Schizosaccharomyces pombe: one gene and its partners. Changing the gene in region 1 together with any one later gene gives a genetic interaction. Each region holds a gene or a part of one and is shown on either strand. Other genes may lie near its edges.

Evidence for each region. A genetic interaction does not mean that the proteins touch.
Region 2: mutations in naa38 (region 1) and pro2 together harm fitness more than expected from each alone (negative genetic interaction), as found in Schizosaccharomyces pombe (one large-scale study listed by BioGRID).
Region 3: mutations in naa38 (region 1) and spc34 together harm fitness more than expected from each alone (negative genetic interaction), as found in Schizosaccharomyces pombe (one large-scale study listed by BioGRID).

What each region holds. Positions count from the first base shown.
Region 1 is NC_003423.3:673,286-682,375, forward strand, and holds naa38 (putative NatC N-acetyltransferase non-catalytic subunit Naa38), read left to right. Parts: upstream 1-3,451; 5' UTR 3,452-3,475; coding exon 3,476-3,623; exon of another isoform or gene 3,624-3,771; coding exon 3,772-3,842; 3' UTR 3,843-4,297; downstream 4,298-9,090. Other genes in the region: AP-1 adaptor complex beta subunit Apl2, read right to left, coding at 4,298-6,349; knk1 (AAA family ATPase), read right to left, coding at 7,264-7,481, 7,529-7,937, 7,986-9,090. UniProt on the Schizosaccharomyces pombe protein: Component of the NatC N-terminal acetyltransferase, which associates with the ribosome to acetylate nascent protein chains in a cotranslational manner.
Region 2 is NC_003424.3:2,026,708-2,030,652, reverse strand, and holds pro2 (glutamate 5-kinase), read left to right. Parts: upstream 1-1,785; 5' UTR 1,786-1,900; coding exon 1,901-1,955; intron 1,956-2,079; coding exon 2,080-2,378; exon of another isoform or gene 2,379-2,454; coding exon 2,455-3,309; 3' UTR 3,310-3,445; downstream 3,446-3,945. Other genes in the region: ER protein disulfide isomerase Pdi2, read left to right, coding at 345-1,424; cytochrome c-heme-linkage protein Cyc2, read left to right, coding at 3,690-3,945.
Region 3 is NC_003424.3:3,673,199-3,676,405, reverse strand, and holds spc34 (DASH complex subunit Spc34), read left to right. Parts: upstream 1-1,511; 5' UTR 1,512-1,611; coding exon 1,612-2,106; 3' UTR 2,107-2,707; downstream 2,708-3,207. Other genes in the region: ABC family Fe transporter Atm1, read right to left, coding at 1-880. UniProt on the Schizosaccharomyces pombe protein: Component of the DASH complex that connects microtubules with kinetochores and couples microtubule depolymerisation to chromosome movement; it is involved in retrieving kinetochores to the spindle poles before their re-orientation on the spindle in early mitosis and allows microtubule depolymerization to pull chromosomes apart and resist detachment during anaphase.

The DNA.
Region 1 (9,090 bases):
GCTTTTCTGAATTTACATAGACTAATAAGAAAACCCGCACTAGATAGGAAGATTGACTAAAGAAGAAAGGAACAAAATTTACGACTTAAATCCAGTGATCTGACAAAATCTTCTGCATATTGCCTAAATGTGATGATTTTTCGTTTAATTTCCAGAAATAACATTGTTTTTATTTATGATTTAATCTTATTGTCACGTTCATTTGTTGTTTTCTAGTTTCATGTAGATCGTCGTCTCTTTAAGCTCACTTGACTATTTGGGGAAACCTGGGTAAACGAGAGAAAGCATCGCTCTACAAAAATAGATTTGCTAAAATATAAATTGGTTTATTCATAGAAAACTTACATAGATTAGTAACAAGTACAGAAATCTAAAACAAACTCTATCGTAAGCTTATTCGAAGGTTATAAATGTGGATGATGGGTGAATAATTGAATAAAATGAATGTACACAAGGTTTTCTATACGCAACGGTGTTGTATGGTATTAAAAAAAAAAGATACCTTGCAAATAAAAGGAGGATAAATTGAAAACATTAATAAATTAAAAAGAAAATCAACATTGAGTAAAAGCAAATAAAATAAATCAAAAAGAATAAAGAAAAAAATAAAATAAAATAAAAAATAAAAAAATGATATGCAATGACGAAAAATTATGAAATATACAATTCTATTCTATTTCATTTAATTATTAAATTTAGTGGACGTAAATTAAAGAGAAAATTCAAATTTAATATAAAATTATTAATTTTGTAAGTTTAGACACAATAATCCATCAAGTAAGCATAACTCTGACATAAAGTAAATAAAAAAAAAAAAAAAATTAAAAAAAAAAATTTAATAATAATTATAATAAAAATTTAAATGAAAAACTGTTCAACATCAATACTTATCATAAATATTCCGACTCAAAACACTTCCTCTAAGAGTTTTTTCATCTCACTCATAATACTTTTTCTATCCAAATTTCCGATGTTTTTTCCCATACCATACATACTGTGGCTTAAACTGATAACTTACTATTCCTCCTTAACAGCCAAGAGTTGACTGTTTTACCAAGTCCATTTCGAACTGCTATGATCGTTTAATAATGTCATTTTGCACATATTTGTTTGCCATATGCATGCACATTTGCCATGCCCCTTGTCCATCTTCTATGTGCTGCTGGAAAGTCGGGTAAACGGGTAAAATTGAAGGTTTGTAGCATGTGTGTATGTGCTATCCCATCTAATGAGCTTGGATGGAGTTATTTGCTTACTGATATTGCAAAGGGGGAAAAGCGAATTGGAGACTTTTTTCTTGCATTAGAAGGGTACTATTGATTACCTTTTGTTTAATAGGGCACCTTGGCAGAATGCGAAAAAGTAAGCCAGAAAAAAAGGAAACTCTAGAAAAAGAGAGGCAATTGATTAAAGAGTATTAATAATAATAATATTTAAAGGAAGAAAAGAAAAGAAAGCCAATAATCGACTGCTAGAATATCCAACCCATTTAAATTTTTCATTTTTTTAACGAACTCTCGGCCCATCTCGAAAACATATTTTATCGATACCAGCCTTCTACTTCATTAACAAGGATAGAGTACCGATGGACTACGATAGGTGATTTCGCTGCACCCGATTGCTGTATATTGTATTTCGCCCCTGTGACCGTTAAGATTTTGGTCAGACTGAGTGCAGCTTTCGGGGTGCAATAGTAATGCCAAAAATTCAATGGCGTGACATGCGATAATATCGAAATTTCTGTAATGTAAAGCGACTCAACTTTTTCCTGTTCGACAAAATTTGATCATAGGGGAAAAAACGAGATGAAGTTTGGCTATTCATATAACGATGAATTTTATGTGCTGGAGGGAGCTCGGTTGAACCTATTACCATAAGTATTTTTTACAAACACATAATTTTACTGTTTCGTAGCACGGTCTATTATTGTAGAAATGTTTTAACCTTTATAAGCGAGATAAAACAGTCAACTCGTTACGCAAACTTATCGACACTTTGCGAGAGTTAAAGTTACCAAGCTTTCCTACATCGCTGGTTGGAAAGACATAGTTAAAATGAAGCTGGTTTGCTGGCTTTCAAAATAGGAAGATTTCCCAATGTTTTAGTATATAACCGAGATCGCTTAAAATACTTTACTCTGATATCAACAACTCTATGTTCATATCCGTTATCAATCAACAGGGAATTGAGGAACCGTAGCAGTTTTTGTTAAAGTAGAGAAAATGTCAAGTGACCCATAAACTTGTAAATTGGAGATGAACGAACCCCTTAAAAAACCCATTAACGAAACGATTCCCTCTTTTTTTCTCATACAATGAGTTCTTAATAATAAAACTCACATGACAAGTCGGTTCATGAATTCACTTTACTTTGCACTAGACTGCTACAATTCCCTCTCCTTGAAATTTCCAGTACTGCATTGGGACGAAGTTGCCTAGTGTCTTGCCGTCGAAAGGCAGTTTTTGACTCGGCAAGCTTAGAACGTTTTCATGAAACTCTATCAATTGCATAAATGGATGCAAAGACAAACTATTCACGGCATTTGTTTAAACTATTTTTGGATACCGCGATGTAAATAGTATGTATACGGCCTTGATATCCTACTGTACCAACTGTATACTAAATAACGATGCGAAGCGTAGAGGGTTGAAATCAGTAGGAAAAAATACCTACTTTCTGGATTATAATTTCAACCATTCTTTATGAGAATACATTCATGTTGTATTTAGGATCGGTAATTATAGTAATCTACCTTCTCTTTCATCAAAACACACTCTTCAACATGCTAAAAGATCGATACAAAATAAAATCGCAAATGGGATAGTCCGCGCTATGTTATAGAGCATTACGTTGCCATTACTCACCCCACATTCAGTTACTCTATTATACGTAGTTTGTGATACTTAAGGTGATATCGTATACTATGTAAAGACATGCACCAATTCCGTTGTTTAAAATACCAATGTTAATTGCACAGTTTTCAATTCTCCCTAATGTTACGCAGTTTGGTATCTGATTTAAGGATACGGAGAACTGCGGTGAGTTTTCCTTATGGTCTATTTATATTACAATACACAGGTTGTATAAGTAGCAACTGAGTATAGGTATTGTATTAACTGGGTTATAATGTTACCTATCACTAATATAGCTCATAACTGAACTGAGGAACGAGGTTCAGTTGTAACGCTATTTATAATATTTCTAAATAGTTGTTATTAACGGGTATCTATGTATATAGACGGATAATTACCCGTGATTATCAATAAACGGATCTTAGCTAGTATTCCAACATATGACATATAGTGATACGCAACGTAGTGTATCATAGCATAGCGTTATATTAATGGCACTACATTACTTTTTACAATACGATGTTCAAATTTTGTGCATTGCGTTAATGTTTAGTATTTTCAGAGTATGTATATCCACTGCTATTGATTTCACTTCCCCCAAGCTTGATGAATTTTCCTTGATCATGGAAAATGGAGAGATTTTACTGACCAGCTGGCTCAATCGGTCAGTTCATATTGAAATTTTTGATGAGAGAAAATTCATCGGAAAGTTCTTGTGCACTGACAGAGAAGGCGCTGCCATTCTCTCAAATACCACAGAATACAACAAAGGTAAGATTGATATGTGTTCATGAATAGCGCGTCCCTCAAATTCAAGTAAACTTTCGCTGGGTTACTGTTTAAATTGAAAACAAACGTTCCAGCTAGTACCTCTTTCTGTTTTTCACCAATTTCGTCAAAACTAATATAATGAAATCAGGCTTCTCTAGAGCTTTGGGTTTAGTGGTGATTCCAGGAAAGCATATCAAAAGCTTCTCCGTACGTGCCTAAAGCACCCATAAATCTCCTTAACATTTTCATCTCACTTACGTATGTATGTATATATATATATATATATATATTGGAATGAATTCAAAAACGAATATCGCCAGGGATAATCATTACATTCGTACAGATTAAAAAACGCCTATAATTAACATTACAATCTGTACCACTCGTGATAGCACCTCAGTGATAATGATTACTGCAATGAGCAGTCCCTATTTTTGCTTCGCATCCATTTTAACAAATATTTTTTTATTTATTTATAAAAACGAAAGAAGAACATGCTTTCTATGTTAAAATTGACTTTCTGATTTGGGAAAAAACAACAATTGAAACATATCTTCATAAACTAGATGTGCATCAATCAACCTTATCCCGTTTTTCCCATTAGACAAACGAAACGAGATAAATATTAATAAAACAAATCATCATCTATCATGCCACTCATCTGTCGTTTATCTTTAAAGCCCTAACAGATCATCTGTTGCCGATCTAGCCTTTACAGGTTCAGCGTTATTTGTGCTCGGTGCCTCAAAAGCCATGAACAAATCCATTGCACTATTTGAGCCCGACTGAGGTTGTGCGCTGGTTATTGGAGAATCACTGGCAGACGTTGCGCCTGGATCAGTAAAATCAAGGTCAAGCAAATTTTCAACGTTGGCTCCTTTTTCAATAGCTTCATGAACATTGGCTTCTTCAATGTTCAATTCTTCAACAGCTCGACGCTGTATTGCGTCTGCGCCAAACTTGCCCTGGCCAATAAAGGATTCCGGTAATTTATGGTATACAGAAGCAAGAGTTGTGATTTCACACAACAGAGCATCCAAAAGTGCCTCAGGTAGATTGTTATTATAAGATACGGAAGGCTTTTCGCAACAAACAATTTTTTGAGCTTTACGAACATTTTCAGGTGTCAACAACCGCTGATATGCAAAGGCACGATCCCTTAAATCCTGATTGCTTGATTGATTAATTGCATAATTTAATACTTTCTGTACGAGTTCTTCATCGTTTCCTTTGCCGTTCATCAAACTCAATTTTACAACAGCCGTCAGTAAAGCCAATTGAATCTGTAAATCTTCATCCGCCATAGTAGAAATCATTTCGGATAATAGTTTAGAAGAAGTAGGTATAACGTGTGAAAATTCCCCTAAAATCCAAGCCATACTACTACGGGCTCTAGGGTCACCAAGCTCCTCAATGACACGAGAAAGATATGGAAGTAATAAGTCAATCTTTTGAGGGTATTTGCGCAAAACCGTTTCCATCACCACCGTGACTTCTTGAACCATATAACTAATATTTAACTCATAGATTTCAAGAAATATGGAGATGCAATCATTGATGACGCTTGGAACTTTCAATGCAACGTCTCCAAGGCATTTAATCGTTTGTTTCACAAATTCTAGTTCAACTTCGGAAACGTACGCTCGAAGCTCGGAAATGGTCTCGTTAATGTTTTCGTCACATGCAAGCATTGTAATTATCTTTAGTTTCTCCATTTTAATATAAAGAGGATCATTATATTTGCAGAAAAAAACCCGAGTTTTGACATCAAAAATAGAAGGCCTCTTTTGTAATATTAAATTAATGTTCCGTAAGGCTACATACTGGATTTCTGAGTCCGTAGAAAGTAGCGTCAAAAGAGGAGGAGCCATTTTTTTGTACAGAAAGTCTGTAAAGTCACTGGAAAAGAGAGGGATATGTACCATTATGACTTTCACAGCGGACAAAACGACACCACTATTTGCATGTTGGAATTGAGGAACCACCCTTTCACAAACATATTCAGCTTCCTTGATATCAGAAGTGCGAAATCTAGCTAAAGAATTCAAAATAGTAATCCGACCCCACTCATTACACTCACTCAAAGCAACCATTAGCCTGTCTGTCATCGTGTAAACTACATTAAAATATCCCTTTTCAGGGTCCTGATCATGAATTTCAGCAAGTGAGCGGACTGCATTAGCCACAACCACAGGATTCGGATCAGATACCAACGCCTGCAATTGTTCGATGAAACCATTTGATGCACAGTATTCTCGATCAAGGTCATACATCTTTACAACACAAACCGCTGCAGCCTTACGAACATAGGGATGCTCATCCTTCAAAGCTTTTCGCAACGGATCTGCCAAATAGCCAATGATTTTATTTACCCGAATGCAACCCATAGTTCTAATTGCCAGAGCTCGTAAAGTAGGATTATATTCCTCAGAATCCTTTACAAAAGTATTAACGGCTAAAATACAAAGATCAGGGTGTGTTTTGGCATAGTTAATTAGATATAAATAAACCAGTTTTTTCAAGGTGATATCGCGAGTAGCTAGGTTCTTTAAAACATCGGGAAACAGACTAGACACATCCTTGCCAACAGTCATTGCGGCAATAGTCCGTTTCACAGCATCAATTCTCTCGTAGGCATACTGAGAAACTAGTCCCTTTTGTAATTCACTTGTTTCGCTTTTTTTAAATGCCTTAAAACGGCTCGATTGAAACAACTTTGGAACCATTCGGTACTATTGTATAATTCCGCTCTTTATGTAGCTCTTTTAAAGGTGGTAAACGTCCTAAGGTCAAAAACACGTTTACATATATAAAGCAGTGGTTCAATAATCATGTCAAGTCAAACCCATTCGGTGAGAAACACCCACTCCCAGAAGTAACAAAGGTGACAATATCGAATACTGAAATCCAATTTCTATATATTCATGATTTCATTTTCAACCTGCAATGCTTTAAACGCTACTATTATGACCTTTAAATAAATTTTAAAACATTTAATTCAGTATACAAACAAGAGGTTGAAATGTTATTTCAATAAAAGCTATAAGTTAATTGCCGTAAAAATGCGATTCAAGTAAAGCAATACCCTTTTCCAAACATTAAATAACTAATAATTATTGTTCAAAATTGGAGAATAGTGAAGGGAAAAAAAGTAGCCCAATAGGTTGAGGCTGTATGTAAACGAAATAAATATGACGATAAATGGAAAAAATAAAATAAAGAGAATTGATGGAAAATACAAAAGGGGAGCATTTGTAAAAGGCGCTGTCAAGTCGGCTATGATTTAAAATGTCGTTTATAGCGATAGTCAAATCACGAATACATTTTAGTTGTTGTAGGAAAGACGAAAATAAAATGAAGGTAAACAGAAATTAAAATTCGTAATAAGCCAAGTTTATGCAAAAGAAAGTTATTGAAACCACATGAAAATCAGCATCCACGATTCAATCCCTAAATGCACGGTAATTCTCATAATATCCAGAAAAACGATACCCAAATGATTCGTTAAGAAACATTAAAGGATAAAATTAAAAAGAGAGAAAGGAAGTTTGAATAAATTAAAGGATACCCTGCCTTTTTGATGCAAAAGAATATATGATTTCTTGAAAATATTAAAGGTAGAATACTCTACAAAGTTGTTTTAACGTTGCGAACCAAATTGTTTATTCCACTCTTCGTAACGATGAATACCCTCTTGTGAGACACTTGGACGAATAGTACGAAGGCTAGCTTTAAAATGATTCAAGCTGATCGGAGGTATCATCTCTGCACTGGTGGTAAGTAGAGCATCACCCAAGTTTCTTAAAGGACCCATTGCTGCGTCTTTGGCTAAAGCAGTGATATCAGAGCCTGAATAACCTAGATGGCGTTAGTTAACTAACCAATCGAATTATTTATATACATACCTTCGGTAAGATTGACAAGTTCTTCCAGATCCTCCTCCGTCAAACAGTGTACTTGATTATGAAGCAAATGAGAAAGATGTTTATATCTTGTTTCTTTTTCAGGTAACGGAATATAGGTTCTTTTAACGAATCGGCGTCGAGCAGCCTCATCAATACACCACGGAAGATTTGTAGCTGCCAGCACCAAAACACGGGGAGAGTGACCAGTTTGCTTGTCCGGAGCCGCATTAGTTAACGAAGACCATTGAATTAAAAATTCTGTTTTTAATCTACGAGAGCTCTCGTGCTCATTACCGCTGTCATTACGAGCGGAAAGAATGGAATCAATTTCATCAACAAAGATAACGCTACATGTCTGGCGCTTCGCAACTTCAAAAAGGGCTCGAACCAACTTTTCAGAATCACCAAGCTAAATCAAGGTTAGTTAAGAATGGGGTTAAATATAAAACTTGCTTACATATTTCGAGGTTAATGATGAAGCCGAAATCGAAAAAAATGTGGCTTTCGCTTCGGTCGCAACAGCACGAGCAAGCATGGTTTTGCCGGTGCCAGGGGGGCCAAAAAGAAGCATGCCTTGTACGGGTTCACGCAATCCTTGGAAAAGTTCCGGGCGTAAAAACGGATAAATGACTGCCTCTTTCAAGGAATTTTTAGCGTCATCTAATCCGGCAATGTCCGACCAGTAGACAGGTTCATGGTTAGAAATAATTTCATTCATAATAGCATATTCAAAATCACTTGAAGGAGTGGTCTGTTGAAGAGGTTCAGTTTGTTGAGTAGTACTAGCTGAGATAGTTTTTGACACAATTGTCTTAGAATCAGCGGTTGCCGGAGGAGATGTAGCAGGTGATCCGGCTGTGTCAGCGGAAGACGGTCGAGTGGAAGAACCAAGGGTATCATGAGAAGAGTTTAAGTATGGTTTATATGGGCTAGGATGCTTGCGCGATTTTCCATCGCTGGATGAATGCGATGCAGACGTAAGGGGGACGGCAGGAACATGGAGTGGAGGAATTGGCGCATGGAAGGAGAGGGGAGTGCTATTGTTAGCATTTTGATTGTTTGACACCTGAATAGAAGGGCTAGATACCGAATTGGAAAGCGTCGGTTTAGTCGTAGACTGACTTTTCATAGCGGTAGGAAAAGTGGTGGAATTCATGGTAGCAGAACGACCTGTATCAGAAGAAAGAGCAGAAGCAGAAGCGGCAGCACTCTTAGAAGCAGCAGCAATGGCCGAAGCAGAAGAATTGAAAGAGGCAAAGGGATCTTCGGGTTTGAGGGGTGGAGAACGGTTTGGCTTAGAGGGTGCCAGATAAGAAGGTGCATCTCCATAGGAAGAAGAAACAATGGATGAAGTGGAGGTAGAAGGAGGCGAATGCTTGGAATATATTTGCTTAGGCGTAGATAAATTTACCTCCGACTGCGCACCTCTCGTCTGTCTGTACATCATCCTAGTAGTCATGGGGGTATACGCAGGTGTTTGAGATCTTACTGGACGTAAGGGGTGAAGATCAACGGGCGCCTTCTTTGAAAGTTTGGCTGCAAGTTGATAATTTTGCCTTTCC
Region 2 (3,945 bases), on another chromosome or scaffold:
ATAACAGCAATAACTGAACTTAATAACATAGGTTCACTAGAGCTTTCTTGTATAATAGTTCAATCAATAATTTGTAGGTCTTAAAATGCGTTCATGGATGCGCTAGCGATATAAGCTTACCAAAGTGTGGAATAAAGAATACAGTGACGAATGAAGCTACTAAATAGTGCAATTTAGTGAATATTCCTTTTGTTATAGATAGGTAACATGGGTAACGATGCTCAGTAAGCTCATTCAAACATGACACAGCCGGCTTCGTACAGCTTACATTACCCAACGACATATACATACTTTTGTTGTACCTGTCCCGTATTTGTGGACACTGGAAAAGTAGAATACTTAGAATGAGATTACCTCTGCTGAGTTTTGTTATATTTGCGCTTTTTGCGCTTGTATTTGCATCAGGTGTTGTAGAGCTCCAAAGTCTCAATGAGTTGGAGAATACTATCCGAGCTTCTAAAAAAGGAGCATTGATTGAGTTTTACGCCACCTGGTGTGGACATTGTAAATCTTTAGCGCCAGTGTATGAAGAACTTGGCGCTCTTTTCGAAGACCACAATGATGTCTTGATTGGCAAAATTGATGCGGATACACACTCCGATGTTGCTGATAAATACCACATTACTGGTTTTCCAACACTGATCTGGTTTCCTCCTGATGGATCTGAACCAGTTCAGTACTCCAATGCTCGCGACGTTGACAGTTTGACTCAATTTGTGTCTGAGAAAACTGGTATCAAAAAACGCAAGATTGTCCTCCCTAGCAATGTAGTTGAGCTCGATTCTTTGAATTTTGACAAGGTTGTTATGGACGATAAAAAAGATGTTTTAGTTGAATTTTATGCGGATTGGTGCGGTTATTGCAAGCGTTTGGCTCCTACTTACGAAACTCTTGGCAAGGTATTCAAAAACGAACCAAACGTTGAGATTGTTAAAATTAATGCAGACGTCTTTGCTGACATCGGAAGGCTACATGAAGTTGCAAGCTTTCCCACCATCAAATTCTTTCCTAAAGATGATAAAGATAAGCCTGAATTATACGAAGGAGATCGTTCTTTAGAATCTTTGATCGAGTACATTAATAAGAAATCTGGAACTCAACGTTCTCCCGATGGCACTTTACTTTCTACTGCCGGCCGTATTCCAACTTTCGATGAATTTGCTGCTGAGTTTTTGGATATGTCAAACGCTGCCAAGGAAGTTGTTCTTGAAAAAGTCAAGCAGTTAGCCTTAGAGGATTCATCTAGATGGACTAAGTATTACAAGAAGGTTTTTGAGAAGATTTTAAATGATGAAAATTGGGTACATAAAGAAGCTAAGCGTTTGTCTAAACTTTTACGCCAGAAGAGCATCGCTTTGGCCAGTGCTGATGATTTTAAAACTCGCCTTAACATTCTAAATTCCTTCCTTCCTGGTAATCACTAGTGATTTGGAAATGTTTGCTACGTTATAGGTGAAAAAACTTAATCTTATGACCGTAGGTTTATAAATAAATCAACAGTTTCATGATATTTTCGATAAATACTGAGGAATATGTAGGTTAAAGTATTACCCTTTAACAATTTTTTATGTACTTATAAAAATAGATTTTCTCTCCATTAATGATTTGTGTCTTTTTTAGTTTCTACGTATATGATAAACTAAAGACAATAATTAATATTAAATAGAACGTTGTAGGTAAATTCAACAGCTATATACTCTAACAGGCTTTTATCCTTAAAATTGAAATCCAAATCCTACATATAATTATTCCTTATCAATGGGCTATAAGGCTTTCCGTTATTTTACCACTACTAGATGGGCCGTTGATTTGTAAAGGTGAAGACAAGTCGTATTCCACTAAAATTTATCCTTTTTTTAAAAAATAAATTTCAACAGTAACTTTGTAGATTTTTTTTAAAATGTCTCCGAAGTCGAAAAGCACAAATAAGACTTACACAATTGTCATCAAACTTGGTAAGCACGGAATAGTAAGCTATACAAAAGCATATGTATGAATTTTATATCTCACTTTTTCAAATATGTATTTCTTTGTTTGCTCGTTGTTGGCATCACAAACGCTTTGCTAACATTATTTTAGGCACATCGTCAATTTGTGATGAAAAGACTCATGAACCATTAATTTCAAATTTGTCACTAATCGTTGAAACCGTTGTCAAGCTTCGAAAGTTGGGTCATAATGTCGTTTTGGTTTCAAGTGGTGGTATTGCAATGGGCCTTCGTAGATTAGATTTACCTAAGCGTCCTTCAAAGCTTTCTGCTGTACAAGCAATTGCCGCGGTCGGTCAAGGAAGACTAATTTCCTTATGGGATACCTTATTTACACAACTTCGTCAGCCTATTGCGCAAGTTTTAATCACTAGAAACGACATTGCCGAGGTAAGATTCAGATAATTATTGTTGACACTTAAAAAATTATTTTAATTACTGACGGGTACTAACTATTAATATTTAGAGATCCCAATATGTAAATGCAGCGAACACAATTTCCGAGTTGCTACATTTTGGGGTAGTTCCCATTGTAAATGAAAATGATACTCTGTCTGTTCAAGAAATCCGTTTTGGTGATAACGATACTTTATCGGCAATTACAGCTGGCATGATAAACGCAGATTATTTGTTTTTACTTACAGATGTTGATTGTTTGTATACAGACAACCCACGTACCAACCCTGACGCTAAGCCTATTTTAAAAATTCATGATACATCAATGGTAAATGCAAACGTTTCCACACCCGGTAGTGGAGTTGGAACAGGGGGAATGAAGACGAAATTGATCGCTGCAGATTTGGGAACGTCTTCAGGCGTAAATGTTATAATATGTCGTGGTTCTAAACCTTCGAGTATATTCGATATAATCCGTCAGGAATCCTCTGATAATAAAAATGAGTCAGTTGAATTACCTCTGCATACCCACTTTGTAGCCAAAAAGCAAGGAAGGATCCGTGATCGACACTTTTGGCTTTTGCACGGCCTTAAATCACATGGGAGTTTGGAAATTGATCGTGGGGCTTTCGAGGCTATAACCCGTACAAATAGAGCAGGATTACTACCAGTTGGTGTAACCAAAGTACATGGCCATTTTTCAGCTCACCAAGCAGTTACGGTTATTTACAACGGAGAGGAAATTGGCAGAGCCCTTGTTAATTACAGCAGTACTGAAATAGATTTGATTAAAGGCAAGAGAAGCAAAGAAATTGCATCCATCTTAGGATATAACGAAACTGAATATGTCGCCTACAGAGACTATTTAGTAGTTCATGGTTTAAATTCTCATCATGATTCACAAGTTAGTTCTGATGAGCATTGATGTATATATTTAATCACTAGCTTATTTAGAACTACTAAAATTTGTTTTTGCTCTGTTTTTTACCTTTATTATTGGCTTACTGTTATTGAAATTTTTTTGTTATAGAAGGAAGGTTTACGAACTTAATATACAAAAACAGAACCATAAATATCTATTAGAAAATTTATTAAGATTTGTTTATTTTTGTTAAAAAACTATTAACCTTAGATAATAATCAGACGTTTTGTACTGAGTTGTGTAATTAACAAAGTACATTTTGTTGGTATTATATCGGATACTTCCTACGAAGCCTGTGATTGGATTTGGCTTTCATAAACGATGAATATAAGTACACGCAATTCCAACCTCCCCTTGATACAGTAAAACTTACAAAGAAAACAATGAGTAGCTCGACTTACAGGAAATTGCCTAAAATCTTAGCTGCAGGTCTTGCTATTGGTTGCGCAGGTGGTTATTATGCTTATAAAAATTCGAATAAGCCCCCAGGACTTAATCCCGAAATTTATGCTCCATTTACAGTTAATAAAATTACAGAGCTTACATCCGATGCTAGCTTGTTTTCGTTAGTTCCTCAGAGCCCTTCTGAACACCTTACTACTTTGGAACCGATTGCTAAGGTAACAATTCGTGATCCCA
Region 3 (3,207 bases), on another chromosome or scaffold:
GACGACGGAATACAGTTCTCCAGGATGTCGTCCTAACAGTAAAAAGAGCATAAAGAGCAACGGTTGTAGCAGCAATGGCCGAAAACGAAGGTCCGTACTTGTAAGTGAGAATACCACTCACCATAGCAATTTCAAGGGTAATAGGAATGATGTGTAACACCATGGAGGAAAGAATGAAACTAATACCTTTTGTACCACGATCCATTGCTCTAGTAATACTTCCTGTTTGCTTTGAGAGATGAAAATTCATGTCAAGGTTCAACAGATGTTGATAGACATTGCTAGAAACACTTCGAATAGCGCTTTGCGACACAATTGCAAAAACGCTATTCCTTAACTCTTGAAAAACGGTAGAAAATATTCTAGCAAAGCCATAACCGAGAACAACAGCTCCTACAGTAGACCACAATGCTCCTACTTCTTGAACAAGTGTTGTATTCATGGTATCGATAATTGATTTAAAGTAAAAAGGAACTTGGACGTTAAGAATTTTGGCAGCTACAAGTAGTGCGAGAGCCGAAACAACTCTAACTTTCAAATTAGTCTTCCCCTTGGGCCAAATATATTGAAGCATGTCCTTAACAATCATTTGTCCTGTTACATTTTTATCATCTGGTACATCGGAAGCAAGTTTAACAGAAGTATTCAGTGGCTCTTTTTCTTTTGATTTGTTATTCCATAACGCTTTTGAAGCCGAATTATTTCCATTTCTAAGTGGGAAACATTGCTTAGATGCAAAATTGGAAAACCGCAGTATATGTTGAAGAGGTAATATATTTGACTTTCTTAAAACAAGATAAGTTCCACGAGAATTAAGAAAAGAGCGAGCTGGAATATTTCTTGGCGAGCTGATTAATTTCCAGGGACATCGTTCTAGCATTTTTATTAATACAACACTTTAAGATGTCAGAGCTTCAAGCTGTTAGTTATACCCAATATACTGCTCTTCTATTTAAGATAATTAAAGTTTTTAAATCTATATTTAAATAGAATAAACTTGGCTGATAGAATATGAAAAACAGACGAAACGTTCAGTCAGAAAAACCTCAAATAGCCTCCAAAGAGGCAACTTTTTAATAGATGGTATATATGAATAAAAGAACTAAGAGAAGGATAATTCTCAAACCTTTAGTTCTATAAATCTGGCAGACTTAGAAAGTTGTAGATTTTGATTAGATCACGATTGCGAAGTAGAGTCCAACAATTGCAAACTCATCAAAACTGCACTGAGGATTACGAAATTTTTAGCGTGTATTAACCTTTATAAAAGTTTTACATATAATTATTAATGGATAATCTGAGCTGAAGAAATGTGTGCCTAAAGCGTAAACGTAAGAATGATTCGGTGTAGCAAATAAAGGAAAATAGCAAGGAATGAACGCAATGCTTTACCTTTGTTAAAATAATTTGCTGAGCGAGAACAGAATTTCAAAAACAGGCACAGGTGATTTCCATTATATCAAAGATACCAAACGTTTATTACGTTTTGGTTAAACCACCTGCACACACCCAGAGATTGCATACACTTTTGGCAACTCTGGTAAAGTGAATTGAAACATACCTTTTACTAATTACGAGTCGAATTAGTGTTTTTGATGACTTATTAAATAAATGTCTGATTTGTTGAATTATTTACAGTCTATTGCTGCTACATCAGAAAAACTTTTGGAACCGGAAAACCCAAACGCAGCACGTTTCACAGACGCGGTGCTACATACTCATGCTATAACTGATTTAATTCGCGATACTCAGAAGGAAGAACTAATTGCAGCTGAGTTCAAATCTCTACCGAAGGATTGGAGTGAAAGGTTGGCATCAGAAAACCCTGCAGACTACGTTGCTTGTATTGAGGAACTACTAGATATATATCCTATGCAAGGTGGCCGTGAATATTTGGAGACTCTGGTTGAGAAATACAACTTACATATGTCAGGAATTGAGAATTTGGAAAACGTTTTACTGGAACAGAAAGAGCAATTGCAGCAACTTGAAAAACGACAAACCGATCAGGTGTCTGCTAGGGAGAATATTCTACAGCGTGAAACTTCTGAAATCCAAAGACTTGAAAGAGAAATTGAAAAAGTGAAGCAACTGATACAATCTTAGGAAGGCTATTTGCGTTGGTAGTCAGATCGACTTTTCGTATTGGTGAACATTTAGAAAAGGAGAAGCGAGGTCGTTGTTTTATCATGGATTTGAGCAAAGAACAAGAAATGTATTTAAGCGAGGATATAAAAGACCATGGACTCATTCCTTTGAAGTTACATCCTCAAAGAAGCACCCGAGATATTTCTGATTGCAGTTATCCTTCGACGTCAGATGATCGATCGGCTTACTCCCAATACAAACTGATGAAGCTGAAGAGGAAAAAAAGAAGTCGATGTTTTGATATATCATCCTTTAAAAAGCATATTGAAATGTCGCTTGCTAAGAAAAAAGCAAGTTCGTCTACTGTTACTTTGAAGGCTACAAAAGAGCTAGAGGATTATGAATACCTAGAATATGAAAAACATAAAGAGAAGAGAAGAGAATCTTTGGACTGTTTGCTCCAGGAATTCTCTAAAGCGGCAAAGATATTGAACGAAGATAATTAGCAAACTAAGTACATTACAACTCAGGAGCATAATAACTCATTGTTTTTGTAATATTCTCATTTATAGAATAGTATGTGAAAAATACAATAATGTTCATGATAAGTTAAAGACGGCAATTAGATTACTGGCTCAACGCCAGCTTTTGCATTGGACTCATTTGTTGTAATGAGTTCTTAATATTTATACAAACATAAGTACATACTTGTTCTTAAAAGTTCTAAAAGATTTTATTTAAGATATAAATAAAAGTTCAATAGCATAGTATGATAGCAAGTAATGGAACACTATGTATTTATTCTATATTTGATTATTAATATAGAGTAAAAGTCAGGTTCATAGTGTTTCTATTGACTCGTCAACTATAATTATTTTTTGTTGTTACTGAATGATAGAATTTGAACGAATGTTTTAATTGCTAATACCAAGGCTGCTGCTCCACCTTAACAATCACACATTACGCCAAAAAAATTATTTACTCGATTTCTCAAAAAAAACAATAAAAAAGGATCAATAAGAATACCTTTATTAAGAAAAACTTCTTCTTTGGAAAATTAAAGAATACACTTACTGTTGTTTATTTCAGTGTTTGTTATTGTATTCACAATTATTTATT